Linked DNA regions of Canis lupus familiaris. The protein of the gene in region 5 purifies or fractionates together with the protein of the main gene of each other region. This does not show direct contact. Links are inferred from orthologs where the notes say so. Each region holds a gene or a part of one and is shown on either strand. Other genes may lie near its edges.

What was found.
Region 1: the proteins of TRIM21 (region 5) and FASN purify together in Homo sapiens (affinity purification with western blotting; 3 studies listed by BioGRID, with this or other methods). This does not show direct contact. The link is inferred for Canis lupus familiaris from reciprocal best matches to the Homo sapiens genes TRIM21 and FASN.
Region 2: the proteins of TRIM21 (region 5) and IRF3 purify together in Homo sapiens (affinity purification with western blotting; 3 studies listed by BioGRID, with this or other methods). This does not show direct contact. The link is inferred for Canis lupus familiaris from reciprocal best matches to the Homo sapiens genes TRIM21 and IRF3.
Region 3: the proteins of TRIM21 (region 5) and G3BP1 purify together in Homo sapiens (affinity purification with mass spectrometry; 3 studies listed by BioGRID, with this or other methods). This does not show direct contact. The link is inferred for Canis lupus familiaris from reciprocal best matches to the Homo sapiens genes TRIM21 and G3BP1.
Region 4: the proteins of TRIM21 (region 5) and ANXA2 purify together in Homo sapiens (affinity purification with western blotting; 3 studies listed by BioGRID, with this or other methods). This does not show direct contact. The link is inferred for Canis lupus familiaris from reciprocal best matches to the Homo sapiens genes TRIM21 and ANXA2.

Annotation. Positions count from the first base shown.
Region 1 is NC_049230.1:1,059,687-1,063,201, reverse strand, and holds part of FASN (fatty acid synthase), read right to left. Parts: exon of another isoform or gene 3,020-3,515; coding exon 2,846-3,019; exon of another isoform or gene 2,795-2,845; intron 2,708-2,794; coding exon 2,507-2,707; intron 2,418-2,506; coding exon 2,295-2,417; intron 2,222-2,294; coding exon 2,106-2,221; intron 2,026-2,105; coding exon 1,891-2,025; intron 1,499-1,890; coding exon 1,027-1,498; intron 938-1,026; coding exon 750-937; intron 653-749; coding exon 463-652; intron 1-462. UniProt on the Homo sapiens protein: Fatty acid synthetase is a multifunctional enzyme that catalyzes the de novo biosynthesis of long-chain saturated fatty acids starting from acetyl-CoA and malonyl-CoA in the presence of NADPH.
Region 2 is NC_049222.1:107,553,116-107,556,466, reverse strand, and holds the end of IRF3 (interferon regulatory factor 3), read right to left. Parts: intron 3,239-3,351; coding exon 3,046-3,238; intron 2,948-3,045; coding exon 2,567-2,947; intron 1,359-2,566; coding exon 1,243-1,358; intron 763-1,242; coding exon 577-762; 3' UTR 509-576; downstream 1-508.
Region 3 is NC_049225.1:58,443,107-58,447,362, forward strand, and holds the start of G3BP1 (ras GTPase-activating protein-binding protein 1), read right to left. Parts: upstream 2,804-4,256; 5' UTR 2,649-2,803; intron 2,146-2,648; exon of another isoform or gene 1,994-2,145; intron 1,938-1,993; exon of another isoform or gene 1,915-1,937; intron 1-1,914. UniProt on the Homo sapiens protein: Protein involved in various processes, such as stress granule formation and innate immunity. Plays an essential role in stress granule formation.
Region 4 is NC_049251.1:25,618,003-25,622,115, forward strand, and holds the start of ANXA2 (annexin A2), read right to left. Parts: upstream 2,801-4,113; coding exon 2,753-2,800; intron 1-2,752. UniProt on the Homo sapiens protein: Calcium-regulated membrane-binding protein whose affinity for calcium is greatly enhanced by anionic phospholipids. It binds two calcium ions with high affinity. May be involved in heat-stress response.
Region 5 is NC_049242.1:26,901,286-26,904,032, forward strand, and holds the end of TRIM21 (E3 ubiquitin-protein ligase TRIM21), read right to left. Parts: intron 2,423-2,747; coding exon 2,322-2,422; intron 2,078-2,321; coding exon 1,527-2,077; 3' UTR 509-1,526; downstream 1-508. UniProt on the Homo sapiens protein: E3 ubiquitin-protein ligase whose activity is dependent on E2 enzymes, UBE2D1, UBE2D2, UBE2E1 and UBE2E2.

The DNA.
Region 1 (3,515 bases), on a different chromosome or scaffold from region 5:
GTCGTCCCACAGGCGGGGAGCCGGGTCCTGCTGCAGTGAGGACAGCCCACCCCAACCAGTCCCTGGGGTGGTGGCTCTGGGAGGTGTCCCTCCTGTCCCCGGCCTAGCCTACTGCTTCTCCTGCAGCCCCTGGGGGGCAGGTGCCAATGGAAGGGGGCCAGGGCCAGTGCACCCGACACCCTACATCTTCTAGTGCGGGGAGGGGTGCTGTTCATGCCCCACATGGCTTTAGCCCAGTTGGTAGGAAGAGCAGCAGTGTGGACTGATGCTGACCGCTGAGTGGGCAGGGGCCGGGGGGGCCACCGGGCACCCTGCAGTGAGGACGGTGGCCGATGGAGCTCCCCGAGACCCCCGGCCACTGCCCAGGGTGAACACGAGGAACGCCAGAGATGACACCCCCACCCCAAGGGCTCCTGGGTTGGTGGGAGGTGTGGAAAGGGGGGGCCCAGAGGGGACACCTACCCACGGCTGCCATGGCCCCTGGTGGGATGCTGGCCTCCTTGATGCACTGGCCCCTCCAGTAGGCAGTGAGGACGGCCTCCTCCTGAGAAAGGCAGCCATCTGCGTAGCCGCAGGCCACCTCCCCCAGGGAGTGCCCGATGATGCCGTCGGGTCGCAGGCCCATGGAGGTCAGCAGGTCTATGAGGGCAATCTGCGAGGAATGGGGACGTGATGGGTCACACCTGTTCTGGGGATGCCAGGCTGGCCCCCAGCACTGTCACAACAGCCCCTAGACCCCATGGGCGCACCTGGATGGCGGTGAGGCTCACGAAGGCATGGACGATGTCGTCAAAAGTGGTCTCGTCTGTGCTCAGCAGCAGCTCAGACAGCTGTAGGCCCAGGGGCCTCAGGGCCTCACTGGAGCGCAGGATGGAATTGTGGAAGCTGCTCAGGCGCAAGAGGCTCGACCCCATGCAGCGCCACTGTGCACCCATCCCTGTTGCAGAGAGAGGTGTCAGGGTGGTGGCCGGCCAGCTGCAGCCACTGCTCCCCCTCCGGGGAGGGCCTGGGGAGCAGGGTTCGCACCAGAGCAGATGAACCAGAGGGGACGCCGGCCGGCAGGCAGCTGCTGCACCTCCTGCACCTCGTGGCTGCCGTCCTCGCTGCCCAGCACAGTGTAGCCCCGGAAGGGCATGGCGGAGGGGGAGCTGGCCGCGATGTCATTGAGCATGGTCACGAAGGCCACGTCCCGGCTGTGCTGCTGGCCCTTTTCCAGCAGGCACCGCACGGCCTCTGGGGTCCGCCCGCTGGCCCGCAGCAGACGGGGCAAAGTGATGTGTGGGGTGGTCGGCCTGGGTGGCCGCGTGTTGGGCTGGAGGACGACGTGCACATTGGAGCCGCCAAAGCCGAAGGAGTTGATGCCCACGTTGCCTCCGCGGACCGGCCGGGGCCGGTCCACCACCTGTAGCCGCCCATCCTGGAGTGCCAGGATCTCAGGGTTCGGGCTGTGGAAGTGCAGGTTGGGAGCCCAGAGCCCGTGTTCCAGAGACAGCAGCACCTGCGGGGGGCTCGCAGTTGGCGGGGCAGCCGGCCCTGTGCTCCCTACCCTGCTGCCTGCCACCACGCACTCCGTCCCCCGGCCTCACCCTGCCACAGCCCCAGGACCCAGTGGCCAAACCACACCCCACACCGCCCCGCCTCCCCGCAGCCCACTCCAGGTCCTGGTTCTCGCAGGAACTGCAAGCAGGTTACAGCAGCCCCAGGAAGCCAGAAGCTGCCAGTGCACGGTCTCCCCAGGACCCGGCCACCTGCTGGGGCTGTTGTGGCCACTGCCACCCACTCTGGCCGAGTGTGGGCCCCGCAGGGCACCAGAGGCCGGCATGCCTCAGCACAGCCCGTGGGAACCCTCCCCGCCTGCCAGGAAGGATGGCTCCACAGCAGCCTGCTGACCTTGGCCAGAGCCGCGAGCCCCGAGGCGGGCTCTGGGTGCCCCATGTTGGACTTTGTGGACCCGATCAGCAGGGGCTCCCGGCGGGTGCTGCAAAGGGCTCGGTCGATGCTGTTCAGCTCCTGGGGGTCGCCCACCTATGGAGGGCGAGGGGAGGATCAAGGCCCACCCGGGTGCCTCTTGGGCGGGGGGCGTGGGGGCGGGGGCGGGCTCTCACCTTGGTGCCTGTGCCGTGGGCTTCGATGTACTCGAGGGACTCCGGGGCCAGCCCCGCCGGCTCGTACAGGGAGCGGATGAGCTGCTCTTGTACCTCCCCGGAGGGGAAGGTCACACCTGCGGGAGGAGCCAGACCTCAGCCCCCAAGCCACGACCCCGGCTGGCCCGGCCAGGGGAGGGGGGCACCCACCTTGTTCCTTGAAGCCATCCGTGTTGGTGCCGGCATTCAGGATGGTAGCGTACACTCGCCGGGCCAGGGACTTCTTGGTCAGCAGCATGGCCACCACGGCCTCCGCCCGGCAGTAGCCGGCTCCTGGGAGCAGACGGCACATCAGGCCCAGGGGCTCTGGGGCGGCAGGGCAGGTGCCGTGGCCCCCCTGGTCCCCCTGGCCCACCACTCACCAGCCTCATCGAAGGACTTGCAGATGCCCTCTGGACTCAGCATACCCAGCTTCATGAACTGTACAGAAGTGTTGGGCTTGAGCAGGATGTTAATGCCACCCACGATGGCACACGGGCACTCCCCGCTGCGGATGGCCTGGTAGGCGCTGTGCAGAGCCATCAGGCTGGAGGAGCAGGCCGTGTCTAGAGCGACGCTGGGCCCTGCGAGCAGGAGTACAATGTGGGGCCCTGGCGGCTCTAGTGGGGGGCCCTCCACTGCGAGTCCGGGACGCTGACCCCTTGGCCTTGACCAGCCTTCCTGGGGGAACCAGAGGCCCAGAGGGGCTGGGGGGTACCCACCTTTAAAATCAAAGAAGAAGGAGAGGCGGTTGGCCATCATGGCGCGCTGGCAGCCCACCATGCTGTAGCCCAAGAGGGTCTCGGGGTCTCGGCTGAGGGCCTCTGAGGCCTCAGAGCCACTCACGCCCACCCAGACACCGGTGCGTGTCCCTCGGAGTGACGCTGGGTTGATGCCTGCAGGAAGCGACGGTAAGACCTCGCGGCCTCTCCAGCCTGGGTCTGGGCGACCCCTTCCCCGCTTCACTCTGGAGGGGCCCCAGCAGGGCAGCCAGCCCAGGTAGGGCTGAGGACAGATAACTGGGTCACAAGGAACCCGGGGCCCAGGGGACGGTAGGGCGCCAGGCTGAGAGACCAGAGAAAGCCGAGGTGAGGACAGAAGGCAGCATTGTCCCCAGAATACTCCCCTGGCCCCTGGTGTCACCAGTAGGGTCTGGCAAGCCCCAATGACCAATGAGCACCCAAGCACCAAGGGCAGCCTACCCTAGGACAGGCCAAGATAAGGAAACAGAGGGAGACAAAGGCTGAGTGTCCAGGCTGGGAAAGGAGGGGGGGACCCTGGCCAGGACCCGGGGAGTGGCATCCAAGGTCTCCGGGTGAGGACTGGGCAGTGGGAAGGCCTCTGCTCGCCCTTCACCCCGGGGTGCTGTGTGCCTGCAACACTGTCCATTTC
Region 2 (3,351 bases), on a different chromosome or scaffold from region 5:
TCCAGCCCCATGCAGAGGGGAGCCCACAGCTGGCTGGGACCGGAGGACCTGCCTGAGGTCACCCAGCAGGAGCTGGGAGGGGGCCTAAGTCCCCCCCCCCCCCCACCAGCCAACAGGCTGATCCAGCTTACTGGACTGAACAATCAGTGGCCTCAACTGTTCATAGCCAAAACTGGGGTTCTAGATTCTACCCTGGGGCCCCGATCAGAAAGTAGCAACCCTGCAGTCAGACTGGATTCTAACCCATCTTGTGTCTCCTGTCTTGCTTTATAACCTTTGCTCTTCTCTAAGCATCAGTGTCTTGGTCTGTAAAATGGAGGTGACTGTCCCCTCCTCACCAGGTCCCTGGAAGGAGGTCAGGAGGTGACAGGTATCAGCGGCTCCCTGCAGTGTCTGGTCCTCATGCTGTAAGCATCTGGGTTGTGAGTTGCTTGCCAAGGAATAATGCCTAGCCCACATCAGGGCTAGCCTGGACCTAGCTAACCCCTAACACCAGGCACACAAGTGGTAACAGTGGCAAGAAACAGTTTATTGGCCAGGGTGAAGGCACAAGAAGGCAGCACCGGTGAGGAGGGGTCAGACCTCCCCAGTGACCCAGAAATCCATGTCCTCAACCAGGTCCTGGAGGTACGCCTTGTACTGGTCCGAGGTGAGAGTGAGTGGGTAGCTGTTGGAAATGTGCAGGTCCACAGTGTTCTCCAGGGAGGAAGCGCCCTCTAACCGTGCCATTTCCAGCAGGGCCCTAAGGCACGTGGGAACAACCTACAGGAGGTGGGGGGCAGAAATAAGGTGGGGTTGAGTGGACTACAACTTCCAGCAGCCCCCACCATAAACCAGGAATAACCATTAGGCCTAGGGCTGCTGGGAATTATTGTTTTCTCTGTAACTCCCACCATGGGAGGCCTGGTAAGTTTACTAGGGCTGAGATGCTGGAGGGGTTCCTGGAATGTAGGGATCCCACTCAGCAGCTGTGGTCAGAAGGACCCCTTAAGAGCTGTAGTTCCTTAAAAAGGCTGCTAGGACTTGTATTCCACTGACTTCCACATGGTTTTGAGAGTTCAAAACAGGTTTTGGGGGTGAGGGGCCATGAGAAGGACACCCAGAAGCTCCTGGGGATGAGGAACTGGTGGTTGCAAAGACTCTTGGAAGTTGTAGTTTCCCAGAGGGGCTTCTAGGAATTGTAGTTTCTCTTCCCTTTGTTAAGATCCACCCCTTAGCTCCAGGAGCCCAGAAATGCTGCACCTTGAGCATCACCAGCTTCTTGGTCCACGGCTGGTCTTGGGGCCATGGCTCCCCCACACAGAACCAGAGGGTGTAGCGTGGTGAGTGTCGGCTTCCTTTGATGAAGGCAATCAGATCTGGGGGTCCGAGATCCTAGTCAGGCATGGGAAGAGGACCCTCCACCTGCCCCTCCCTGCCCCCAAACTTGACTAACAGCCTCACCTTCTTCCTTGACCAGAAGCCCAACATGCCTACAACACCTCGACCAGATGGCTGCTGATCTAAGAAAAGTCCTGGCATAATCTTAAATGTTTCCCCCCATCCCCGCCCCCCCCCCCCCCCCCCCACCATTTGGGATAGGAGTACACTCCCTACAAGGATGTCCCCTGATTCTGGAATACAAGGTAGTTGGCAGTTTCTGCTCTTTAACCCCCTAAGGCCACAATCTCCTGATAGTGGCCACTAGCCACTGTGGCTATTTCCATTTAAATGGTAATTAATTAAAATCAAATAAAAGTTCAAACTCTCTTCCTCAGTTGCATTGGCCTAAGTACTCAATAGCCACACGTGGCTGGTGGATACCACACCGGACAGTTCAACTCTAGAGCATTTCCATCCCTGCAGAGATATTTACTGGATAACAAAGCCCTAAAGGACTTCTCTGTCCTGCATCTGTCTATCCACCCTACTAACTGGTAATAATGAGGACGATGGCAGTTAATTCCTTGAGCACCTTCTGTGCACTGGGCCCTGTGCCTCCTACCAGCTCTAGCAGAGGAGACAGTCCTCTGACAGACTCAGAGCAGTCCATCTCTTGCCTCAGGTTATAGCACAAGCAGAGCAGCAGGGTCTGAATTAGAACTCTGGGGTTTGGGGGATCTCTGGGTGGCTCAGTGGTTTAGTGCCTGCCCTCAGCCTAGGGTGTGATCCTGAAGTCCTGGGACTGGGTTCCGCATCAAGCTCCCTGCGTGGAGCCTGCTTCTCCCTCTGCCTGTGTCTCTGCCTCTCTCTGTGTGTCTCTCATGAATAAATAAATAAAATCTTTAAAAAAAAAAAAAAAGAACTCTGGGGTTTGGAGGTTTGAAAATTTTTTTGTTTTTAGAGAGAGGAGGATGTAAGGAGAGTGGGGACCAGGGGGAGGCAGAGAGCGAGAACCTTAAGCAGGCTCCACACCCAGTGCAGAGCCAGACTCGGCTTGATCTTGTGACCCTGAGGTCATGACCCAAGCTGCTATCAAGAGTCAGATGGTTCATCGACTGAGCCACCCAGGCACTCCCAGACCCCAGAGTTCTTAACCACCGTGACCACCTCTTTCTACAGCAGAGCTAAGGCTTTGCCTCCTCACCTGACACGAAGGGCCTCAGGTCGAACAGGTCTCCATCTTCATCCTTGGGGACCTCGCCGCCAGGCCTGGGACTGCTGTCAGGGAGAAGCTCCTCGCCCAGGGCCCAGTATGTGTGGCAGTGCCCCAGCCTCCGTGCCCAGAGCTGCTGTCCTGCCCTCCACAGAGCTAGTCCCCCACCCAAGCAGCTCAGTACACGCCTCACGTAGCCCATCACGGTCTTGTCTGTTACCAACACCCCGGGGTCTGGCAGTATTATTGGCTGTCCAGGCAGCATCGTGTCCCCTCCTGCTGCTGCCACCAGCCGCAGGCCCCTTGGGCAGGAGACTGTCTGCTGGAAGACTTGGCGGCCCCGATAGAAGGCAGTCACCTCGAACTCCCACTCTGGGCAGTGGCAGAAGTGACATGAAGAGGGAGTGAGATTGAGAGGGCATAAGGGGCCCTGTCACCCCAGCACATCCCACCCCAGAGCTGCCACTCACCTTCATCAGGCACCAAGAGCCGCTTCAGCGGGTTTTCAGGGGGTTCTGAGTTTGGGCAGGGAGCGGGGAGGTCTATGGTGGGGCTCAGCAAGAGTGGAGGCGTCTGTTCTGGGACCACCACCAGGCTCGAGGGCCCCTCATCTGGGAATGGGGTCAAGACCATGTCACCCAGTAACTCCTCTAATGTGTCTTCCTGGAGAGAAGCAAAAAGAAAAGGATCTGGGCATTTCTGTAGCCTTTTCCGGAGACTTCATGTGGACCAGGCCTTGGGACCCAGAGACGAGTCAGATCTGAGCTCTGCCCTCA
Region 3 (4,256 bases), on a different chromosome or scaffold from region 5:
TTAAACTAACCTCTACCCTTTACTTTCTATTCAAAGTACTATAACAAGTCAAATAATGAAAATTACAAGAACTACTGCAAAATAGGTCAGCAACAAACATTACCAAATCTTCTGATGCACTCTTAGCAGACTGTCAGCTGAGAACAGCAAACCTAATGTGAGTTAAATAAAGAACAAAGAACTGCCTACTTTTCTATCAGAAATACAAAAGCCTAAACAGAAAGGATTTAGCAATAACAGAAGTAACCTGACTTGGCTGGGAAGAAGGAAGGCACGCTACTCTCATATTATTACAATCTGCTTCATTTGTTCTTAATAAATCCATACATGGAGAGACACTGGGCTACCAATTTGTAAATTACCAGTTTTCATATTCCTACCCAATGGAGGCCGGAGGCGAGGCAAAGAACAGGCTAAGAAATATCTGAAAGGGAAACAAAATTCTTCCTCAATTAAGGCACAAGCAAATGTCATCCTAATCTATTTTACCCTGAGCACTAACACCATTAGCTGGACTCCAAGTTAACAGTTTAAATGTATGTTATTATGTTTTAAAATTTGAAACCTAAAATGCTAACTCAATAGTTAAGACCATCTAAATAAAGGTAACTAGAATTGCTACATGAAGGCACGTTTTAAGTAAAACAATGTTACAGTCTAAAGCAATACCAACTAAACATTAAGAACTTGGACCATACAATATTTTGATCCTTTATTGCTACTTTCTGTTAAGAAACATGGAAAGTACGGGTAAATGGAAACACTTACAAATATTAAGCTTCCTTGTAGTGTTTTAGTTTGCTGAGGAGGATGTAAATGCTAAAGTTCCCTCTGTCTGCAAAAAATTCTTATTCAAAGTCTAATCCTAAAGGCTTTAAAAAACAAATAAGAGGGAGTGCATGGAGCCTGCTTCTCCCTCTGCCTGTGTCTCTGCCTCTCTCTCTCTCTCTGTGACTATCATAAATACATATTTAAAAAAACAAAAACAAAACCAAAAACAAATAAGAGGTTGAAAGCCATTCCAAGCAAAATTAATTCATTAGAGCCAATGCCCAAACTTTTGTTAGTTTTACCTCAAGTAGAGACGTTTGTGATGTCAAGTAATGGTCTGGACCTGTAACTATTTTATTAAGACAGGGAGCATAATGGCTTTTAGAAATCGCAAATATATAAGCTCCCCTCTGAAGGTGTGTTCCATACTCGCATATACTACACGCGGGAGCCGAACAGTAAACGGTAAACAAACGAAATGAACGTAGAGAGGCTTTCACCCACAGAAGATTCCGACTTTAGCCCCAAGGGCACGATTCCTAACACACCTCAATCACTCATAATTCACCGAGCATAAGCTCCAGAGACTTAATTCATATTGTAGCCGGGCACCGTCCTTTCCACCCCGACTTCACATTTCAACCCACCCATCTGAACAAACCCCCCGCTCGGCCCCGCATGTTGTCCAACGACAAAACGAGCAAGTTTTGAACTATCTCACGGACGGTCTTTCTCAAAAGTCTGCCTCGGTCAAGAAAAGACGAAAAAGGTCTAAGGTGTCAGCGCAGAGCCTGACGCCCGCGGCCGCCGGGGATTTCCCACCGTCGCGGGGCGAGTTAACAAATCTGCGCAGGAGCCCGGGCCGCGCTCGCCGGCACTTCCGCGCCGCCTTTCTCCGGAAGCTCCGCGGGCGGCGCATCCATCAGCTGGCCGTGCGCTCACACGCGGACCGCAAGCCCAAAGCCCTCCGTGTCCTTTGTCGCCGCGCCTCCCTGCAAGCCCACAAGCGGCCCCAGCACAGATGCCGCCGCGCTGGCCTCCCCGGGGACCAGTGCTCCCTCCGAGGGCACCGGCTCCAGGACGCAAACAGGCCGGGGGCCCGGCGGTCACGCGGCCCGGGGGCCCCCGCTGCCTGCCCCTTACCGTCGGCGCGCCGGGGACCGCGTCTCTCCGCCTCTGGACGTCCGGATCCACTGCAAAAAAGGCAACTCGCCGCACCTACCTCGCCGGACCGCCGTGGAGTACAGGAGAGCCACCCAAGTTGCTCAGCACAGGGCCCGGCTCAGAAAAAAGAGCGGTTACTCCTTCCACGCATCCTCCGCGCCTTCGCCGCTCCCCCCTTCCACTCCCTGTAAAACCCGGGAGCAGCAGCACTTCTGCTTCCCAAGCCCAAGCCTCCTCGCGCTCCCGGGCCGGCCCGGGCCGCAGCCCCTCGCCGGGAGCGGGGCGGGGGCGGGGGGGGGGCGGGGACTCTGCGGGCGCGCGGCAGCGGGAGAGGCCGGCGAGCAGGCCGCGCGGGGCCCCGGGCTCCCGACACGGCCCTGGGGCCCGGGCGGCGGCCGCCGCTCGCTCCCGGCCCGCGCGACCGTTGGGCGTGGCACGCGCATGCGGCGGACGCGGACACGGCCACGCGCGCCGACCGGTGAGAGCGCGGCGCGGAGGGGGCGGGGAAACTCCGCGCGCCCGGGCGCCCGCCTGCGGCCGTTGGGGGGGGCGGTGCGCACGCCTCGCGCGGAGGCCACCACCGCCACCACCGCCGCCACCACCACCACCGCGCCGCCGCCGCCGCCGCCCGGACTTCTCTCTCAGGCGCCCCGGCTCGTCTCGGCCCCGGGGCCGCCCTGCCCCGCCCCGCCCACACCCACACCCGGGCGTACCTGCGCGGCTGAGAGGGAGAGGAACAAGCTCTGCTCCACGGCACGGCGGAAGGCGAAATCCCCTCACGCAACTGCGTCCGCACACACGCGTGCTCCGTCGCCGGTCTATATAACCGTGCCTCAGCCTAACTTGCTGCGGCCAGGTCGAGCAGCCGGCTGACCAATCCCAACTGCGTCCTCTGCGCTCTTCGAGCAGCGATTGGGCACTGACTCGGGGTGAAGGCGTGGCTCTTGATTGGCTTTGACTCCTGCCTATGAGACTCTGAGGATCTCGTTTCCCTAGTAACGGATTGGCACGGAGGGCGGCCAATCACTTCGCGGGACGTCGAAAGGAGGGCGGGGAGTCCTTTGAGTGATGTCCAGAGCAGCCAATGAATGCGTGGGGCCGCTCCCATTCGTCAAGATGTGTTTCCCCTGGGCGGAGATCCGTTGTCCGTGCAGGAGCGGTTGCTCCACAAGGTGGGGCCCGTGTACTTTGGGGAAGTAAACCCCAAGCAGCTAGGAGGTGGGCGCCGGGGAGGCCAAGGGAGCCCCCGGCCAATCGCAAAGCGGGAAGGGTCTGATTGACGCGGGGGTGGGACTGCGCCAAGGAGACCGAGCCCCAGGGCCGCCGTGCCCTCCGGGGACGGTTCCGAGGCGCTCCGGCCCCGGGCTCCAGTCCTCTGTCCTTTCTTTCCCTCGCTTGTTGGGTCTAGCCCCTGAGTCCCCCTCTCCCGCCTTTTCTGCACCGTTTGGCTCTAGGGAAACCAAGTGCGAAAGTTCCCGTTGCTTGGGGTTTTTTTTCTTCCTCTTAGGGCAACTTTTTTTTTTTTTTTTTCTAATTTCCATGTGGCGGCCTAAGGGCACTGGCTGGCTCTCAGCATTAGTCAGCACTCCGGTGGGACAGTTGAGGGGACCTTCCTAAGGTCGCTGGAGAGGTCGCACGTGAGAGCCGCCGCGGAGCCCGAGAACACGGGTCTGCGCCGCCGGCTGCTGGTGGCAAGTGCCGGGGGCCCAGGCCGGCCGCGGGCCCCGCTCGCCGAGGTCTTCCCGGCCGTAGCTGCCGACGCGCCGCAGCCTGGGAGGTCTGCGCCCCGCTCGGGGCTCAGTGCAACATCCTGCGCGTCACCGCCGCTGCCATCCGGCCTCCGATCGGCCGCGCTGTGGGGCTGCCCTGGCGTCTCCGAGGGGCGGCTTGCCAGACCCCTGCACGCCCGCCCGCACGCCCGCCCGCGGCTTCCCGAAGCTCTGCTGGGGCTCGGCGGCGCGCCAGCCCGGTCCTGTCCACGTCTCTCGGGGCTTCGTTGGGCCCTCTGTTGGGCACCATGAGCGGTGTGTAAGGAGACACAGACGCCCCGGCCGGCTCTCGTTCCAGGCTCGTGGTCTCCCGTGAAGTTCTGCAGACAGTTTGGGAGTGGAGCGCCCGGAGCGCCTCTGCTCGGGGAGAAGGGGCGCCCGCAGCCACCTGCCGGGACCCGGGCGCATCCCCTCTAGCTCCCCGCGCGGGGACCGGCCCCAGACAGGGCTCGCGGCCGCCCCAGAGACCCAGCGAGCGCGTCCCTCCGGCCCCGCAGGTCCCGCTGCCCTGTGGCCCCAGCTCACTCCGCACTTAGGAAGCTCCTAGCGAGG
Region 4 (4,113 bases), on a different chromosome or scaffold from region 5:
TCACTTACCCTACTTCTAGTGTAAGCTCAAAAGCAGACAACCCAAGGCTGGGCACTTGCAACCACCATTTATCTGGGATGGCTCTGAAAAAACCTTAAATTGGGCCAGCAACAATTTGCTACAAGCTGAAAATATGTGGAAATGCCTGAATGACAAGTGTGTTTAGCCAAGTTTTTGCTACAGGCATCTGAATTTCCACTGGACCCGTATCGCTGAGCTCACAATTCTTTAAAATGCAAATGTAAAAAAAATGCAAATGTAAAATGCTGGACTGCTTGTTTCAGACTATCAGATAAGTGAGAGGGAAGCCACCACACCAAGGTGGTCAGGCTTCCTGGCCCACATCCTCTTTGTGTTCACGAAGTTCCTACTCCTCTCTCTCTCCTCTGTTCCTGTCCCTCTGCTGTTATGCTTTTAACCCTATGCCTACCACTCTTCCTATTTCTTCTTTTTTAAAAATTACCTTTTAAACCATACTCTCTTCCTTTTCTAATGCTTTTCAAAGCCCAGTGACCCTGTCTGATCTGATGGACCCACTTCCATCCCACCCCACCACCCCAGACTAAGGTAAGGACAGTCATGTGTCTACATCCCAAGTTCTTCTTTCCCAAGTGTTAACTTCTCTCCTTCCTTTAGAGCTCTTGCAGCTTTCCTCCTCCCTGCTACCCAGTCCCACAGCAAAGGCAGGCCAAAGAAGATGGACAACATGGTTTAGGTTGTCAGTGGAACTATCCACCTTCAACACCAAGACTCCTCCATCCCCACAACCTCCCCCAAGTACATAATGCCCATTGTAATGTGATGACTTTGCCTCAGTTCAGTTTCTGGGAAGACTCATAGCCTGAGGTGCCCTGACTTACCTCTCCACCCACGGGCAACACATTATGAGGCATCCCAGCATTCATTTCATTTGGTTTTATGAGCAGGTTATACAGGTAAGTAACTAAGGTGACATCCTCTCAAATGTTTCCCGGGATAAACCAGAAATCTAAGTTCAGGACTACACAAAGAATTTCAAAATGTACTTGTGACCATCTTGGCCTTGGCCAAATAATGAATCCAGTTAATATTTATAACTCTGAAACTGGATTATTAAAGTATTTTCTAGTTTTACTGAACTTTCCAGTAAGATTAAATCAATGGAAATGGAACATACATTCAGGAAAAGGTATGGACAAAGGGCTATTCTGAAATACTATATGTTTTATGGTGCCTACAAAATGTGGATGGAAATCTAAGAAAAACATTTCCCTATTTATTAACAGTACCAGCAATTATTTGCAAAGGCAGGCAATCTGGCCATTGGGCCATATCACATATGGCTTCATTTCCTAGGTGCTATGTCATCTTATTCCAAAAACAGCAAGTACTGAAAGTTTTGCATATTTTTTTTAATTTCTAGAAACAACAATAAATAGTTAATTGAACCTATTAGCTGTAAAATCCACTTGTCTGAAAATCAAATTACTGAGGAAAAGTGACTTTTTTCTTCCTCTAAAATATGGGGGAATATATGAAATTTTCTATTGCAGTCCTATTTCTCCACACAGAGAAATAAATCATACTAAAGTAACTTCAAAGACTACACAAAAAGTCCTTTTCTGAAATCTGATACTAAAAACAATCTAACAATCAGATTCATTACAAAAAAAAATCATTTAGCTCTTGGACTTGTTGGACAACAGTGCGTACAAGTTCCTCAAAGAAATAAGAAAAATATATAGGCTCTCTACTCCATACAATCTGTATTTGCATAGACATCATCTATCTGAACATTTGATGGCAAGCACCAGAGATAATACAGAGGGTTCTGTACTACCCAATACAAACTGCTGTCAACAGATGTTTGAGTGTTTCAATGTATTTTGATTTCAGTGAGAGCATATTTCGAGGTATTGGCATGATATACCTACAAACCAGTATTACTTGTAAAAGCCATTTCTGCCAAGATGATCTGAAAGATGTATGGTATTATTAGATATTTACACCTATTCATATCATAAATTCTACTTGATTCTAAAAGTACTTGCAATTATGTATAATTTCACATATAATTTAAAAAAATTTTTAACTGTAAAAAAAAGCAGATGCATCAGAATTTCCAGGTCCACATATTTCCTGTGAAAGACAATTAGATATAATTCTGAGCTCCCTAATAGCCAAAGCAATAAAAGGAAACATGATAAATTAGAATACTTTCTTATTTAGCTAAAAAGAAAACAAAACACAACCAAAAACCAAACACACACAAAAAAATCCTAGTTCTCTAGTTCTTCTGAAGAAAAGATTTCCCAGGTGCTAAATTAAAAACAACAAAGGTCTAAGTCCTAATCTAGAATAACTTCCTGATCACTGTAAGAAGCCCAAAACATAAGGATCATTTTTGACATGGCTGTAGCTTATGCCAATCATCACTAAAATGCCAGGGCATGACATTAAAACTCATGTATCATCATGACACTTACTACCACTGACACGCTAAGTATATAGCAGGATAAAACTCCAGTGTCACTAATGCCTGTCCAATTTTAATGTGATGCCAGAAAAGCTTCTAGAGCCATCACGTATCTGTCAAATTGAACTACTAGCAACAGCAAAAATAATGGGGAAGAAAAGGGGAATGCAGGGGGGGGAATGATTGTCTAAATGTTGTCCTCGTTGTCCTTAGATGTACAAGGAAAGAGAGTAGCACAGTTATCCAGAGAGATGTCTAATTTGCAAAAATTACACAAAGTGAAAATGATATACTTACATCACCCTCCAAGCTGAGCTTGCAGAGAATTTCGTGAACAGTAGACATTTTGAAGGAAGCTGGGGAAAAAAGTACAACAAATAGTATTGATGAAGAGGCTTCCTTTCCCCCGAAGCGCAGTGATTCATTATACTAATCTCTATTTCTTGGACCATTGCATCTGAGGATATTAGAGTAATTTTTGCAAATAGATGCAATTCCTATCTTATGATTGGGCAAATTAAAGCTGGGAAATGGTTTGTCTTAGTTTCGGATGGACTACAGAAGTAGCCATCCTGCTCTGTGTAAACAGAACCTGGGGAGACTGATTTGTGAATACAAAAACAAAATGCTTCCTCAAGGCTCATGCAACTTGTTCTAACAGGATAAAACTAAGTCTTCCACTTCTCATAAAAAGTGATAAGCTTGTCCAACCAGCACCTACTTCTGTATTTCTCACTAGCGATTAACCTTATTGAAAAGGACCCTGAAATCAATAGCCTTTGCAGGTTGGCCCATTCCTAAATAGAACCTTTATTACTACCTGTGATTATTTTCTTAGTTTACCAATGCTTAGAAGATATTGACAGTTTATGAAAAAGACCATGGAGATATTTTCTGACATTAACTCATTCCAGACTCTTCTTTTTAAGATTCAATAGGGCTAAAATGAAGTCATCTTCCAGTTAATACACTTAATCAGTCAGTGACACTATAGCCTGATGAATTGGCTTTCCAGCTTTGCAATCACACAGTTCTCGGAATTGATCTACCAACCTCTGCCAATGAAGAGTGCCCAAGTAGCAGGAAATCTATCTCAACTGAGACAAGATAGGTCATTCAGCATTATCACTCCCAAAATAAGAAAATAGAGCGGAACTGTATCCTGAAACAGTGGGATTGACGTCTGAATTACAGCATCTCCTGCTGTGGTCTCTTCTTGCTTAATATTTTTTCATCAAGGTAATTATGCCCATGCAAATTCAGCTTTCCATTCTCTTCCAACAGTTTGCATGGTCTAAATATTTTCATAAAACTGGCTTGGAGGGAATATTTGATGCAGACACTTGCTAACTTACAGGAACGCTTTCGACTAAGTAGATTCCAGGCTCCGTGTTGGATGGAGGTGGGGAAATGTAAGAAAAGAAGATTCGCCTTTATCTGTGCTTATGGATATATTTCTGCAAGATTTTCACCCTGAGCTAGCTCCTAGACCACCCCTCTCTCTTCTTAATGATCACAGAAGATTTTTAAGCACAGCAAAAAGAAAACCAAACCTATTCCAATTGCCCCCTTTCCTACAGCTCTCAGACATCCCCCACCTCGACTATGTCTCACCACTGGGATATAATCCTGATTGTAAAAGGTCTTGGTCTGTAAAT
Region 5 (2,747 bases):
CCTTCTAGTTATTGAAGTCAAAGGTTATGCGGATTGATCTTCCCTGTGCAGGTTCCCTGGTGTGATAGTTTGCTTCTTGCCCTTCTCTGCTCCAGCAGATCCCTTACTCCTGCAGGTGGTCCGTGGTCCATCTAGCTCCTGGACATATTTCCACCCTTCCCTACCCTTGTCAATGTGGCCTCTTTTCTATCTTTACTTGTGGTTTGTTCTGCCAGTCTTCGGGTCATTTTCTGGGTTATTTACACTGATGTGGGTGTTATCTAGTTGTATCCATGGGATGAGGTGAGCTTAGGGTCTTCCTCCTCTGCCATCTTCCCAGCTTCTTCACCTGAGATTCTATTTTAGACACTCTGGTTGCTGGAAGGATAGCTGTACTCTCAGGGCTGTGTATAGCACTTCTTCCAACTGTAAAAGCTTAAACACAAGAGTGTTTGCTATCAACAGGTGATACTGTTACTGCAGTTCTGACATTCACACCAATCAGTTTGCCAAAGAAGCAGAACTGGTAGGAGATAAATATGAAGAGATTTATTGTAAGGAATTCGCTTATGCACTTGTGGCGTTTGGCAAGGCAGGTCCTAAATCCACAGGGCCAGGCAACAGGAAGGGCAGGCTGTAACTGTGGCAGGAGCTGAAGCTGCTATTGGTAGGAGGGTCGTCTTCAGTGAACTTTTAGTTCTGCTCTTAAGGTCTTTCACTTGATTGGATTAGGCCTACCCACCTTATCCAGGAGAGTCTCCCTTAAAATCAAACAATTATGGACTTTAATGACATCTACAAAATACCTTCACAGAAACATTGAAAAACTGGGGGCTTATGGCCTAGCCAAACTGACATAAAAAAATCCATCCTGCCTTCCATTTAGATTGATACACCTTTTGGCCAACTCCATTATCTACAGGACATGGTTGGGAGAGCATGGTAGGGATGGGGGAGCACAGGGGCTGGAAATGTAATGTGGAAATCTAAGGCATGCATCATTCAGGCTTTATTTTTAAAGGATGGCTGCTTTCTTTTTTTTTTAATAGGTATGGAGCTACTTATGCTCTGATATGTTTATGTTGGAACAGTAATCCTAAATGTATACAAGAACAAGGATTGAATGTGATAGATCAAGACCCAATACATTTAGGAGTCCCCTTTGCAAGCCATGCAAGGTGTATAAGAGATCTTACCAAAGGCCTAGAGATGGAGAGGAGAAAACAAGACTTGGGTCACATAAAGATGGCAGAGACATGTTTTGGTTGATCCAGGTGATTTGGGCCCAACATAAGTAGTTTGTTTCATGGAGGGAGTCAAAGTAATGTAGGGCAGTAATCTAGGGCAGTAATCATTCAATACTGATGTTGAAAATCATTTTATGTAGATTTTCAGTGAATTCCCTGCCACAATCTGCTTGCTGGTATCCCGACACCTCTACAGAAACAAAGTGGTTCAGAGTTCCTGGGGAAATGGGGCAGAGTCAATGGCTGAGAAAGACACCAACAGTCGGTGTTCAGAGAGTGCTACCACTGCTCCATGGATCCCTACGATCCCACCTCCAGCGGACAGAGCACAAGAGGTGCTGCGTTTCTTCCTGCATCATTAAAACCAGTACCAAAGAAAGGCCGCAGAGGTCCAGCAAAGGCACATTCAGAGAAGGTATAGATGAGGGAGCCATGGTCAGTGATGTTGTAGAAGGAGACTGTGTGGGCCTCACAGTCCAAGAAGATCCCAACTTGGCATGGAGGCACCTGAAGGTGGAGGGGAGTCTGGGGACAGGTGCCAGCCTCATATTTTTGTTTGTTCCACAGCCAAATTGTCCAGAAGCCGTTCCCAGGGCTGAGCAAAAAGTGCCCCTTCCTCTGTGCAGAATCTGTACAAACACCCAGGTCCCAGGCCTCTTTTCCTCTCACATCCACCTCCCAGTAAGCCTTTCCAGAGTCAAAGCACTGGGCTCCCAGGACCATGGGATACATGTCAAATCTGCTTTCATTTTCAGGCACTTCCTGCTGGCTGTCTCCAAGCCTCACTTGTCTCCGATCCTCTGAAAGGATGAGCCATGGATTGGCTGTGTGTGGATCCAGGGTGATGTGTACTGCAGAGAGAAGCCCACGGTCAGGCTGGGAGAGGAAGGGGAAGCAGGAGCCCTGGGCCTGTGGTGGGGGTAAGGATGAGGGTGACCATGAGCCGCACTGTGGGAGAAAATAACCTTCAGGCCTGACCTTTGAGGGAACCACCTCTCTGTCCCTGCCTCACCTACCCTGACCTGCCAGGGACTCACTCTCCACCCTCATCACCCACTTCATTCCCCAGTCCCACACTCCTGGGGCTAGTCTCACCTCCATACGTCCTCAGCATCGTCTTTAGCCCTGGCACGAGGCACACACTCCTCAGACCCGGGGAGGTAATGTCCAGCTCCTTCAGGTTCCAAGCCTCAGTCCTGGGGCAAACAGTTACAGACCTTGTCTCCATCTCCTGCCCCACCCTCCTGAGCCCTGACACTATAACCTCCTTTGTAGGTAACAATTTAATGCAAATTTATAAGCACCTGTGTTAGGATCCTTGGGGGTGGGAGGCAAGAAGATATAGGACATAGTTCCTATCCAGGCCCTCCTGGTTACATGGGCCCCCTGAAGCCCCCTGACGCAAGCAAGCACATTCTGTTTCATTTTACAGGTTAGGCACCTGATACAGATGGAATTACTTCTGTAAGGAACCCCAAGGAGTCTTGCCCATGCAGCTGGTCTCACATGGCTCTTCCTGGG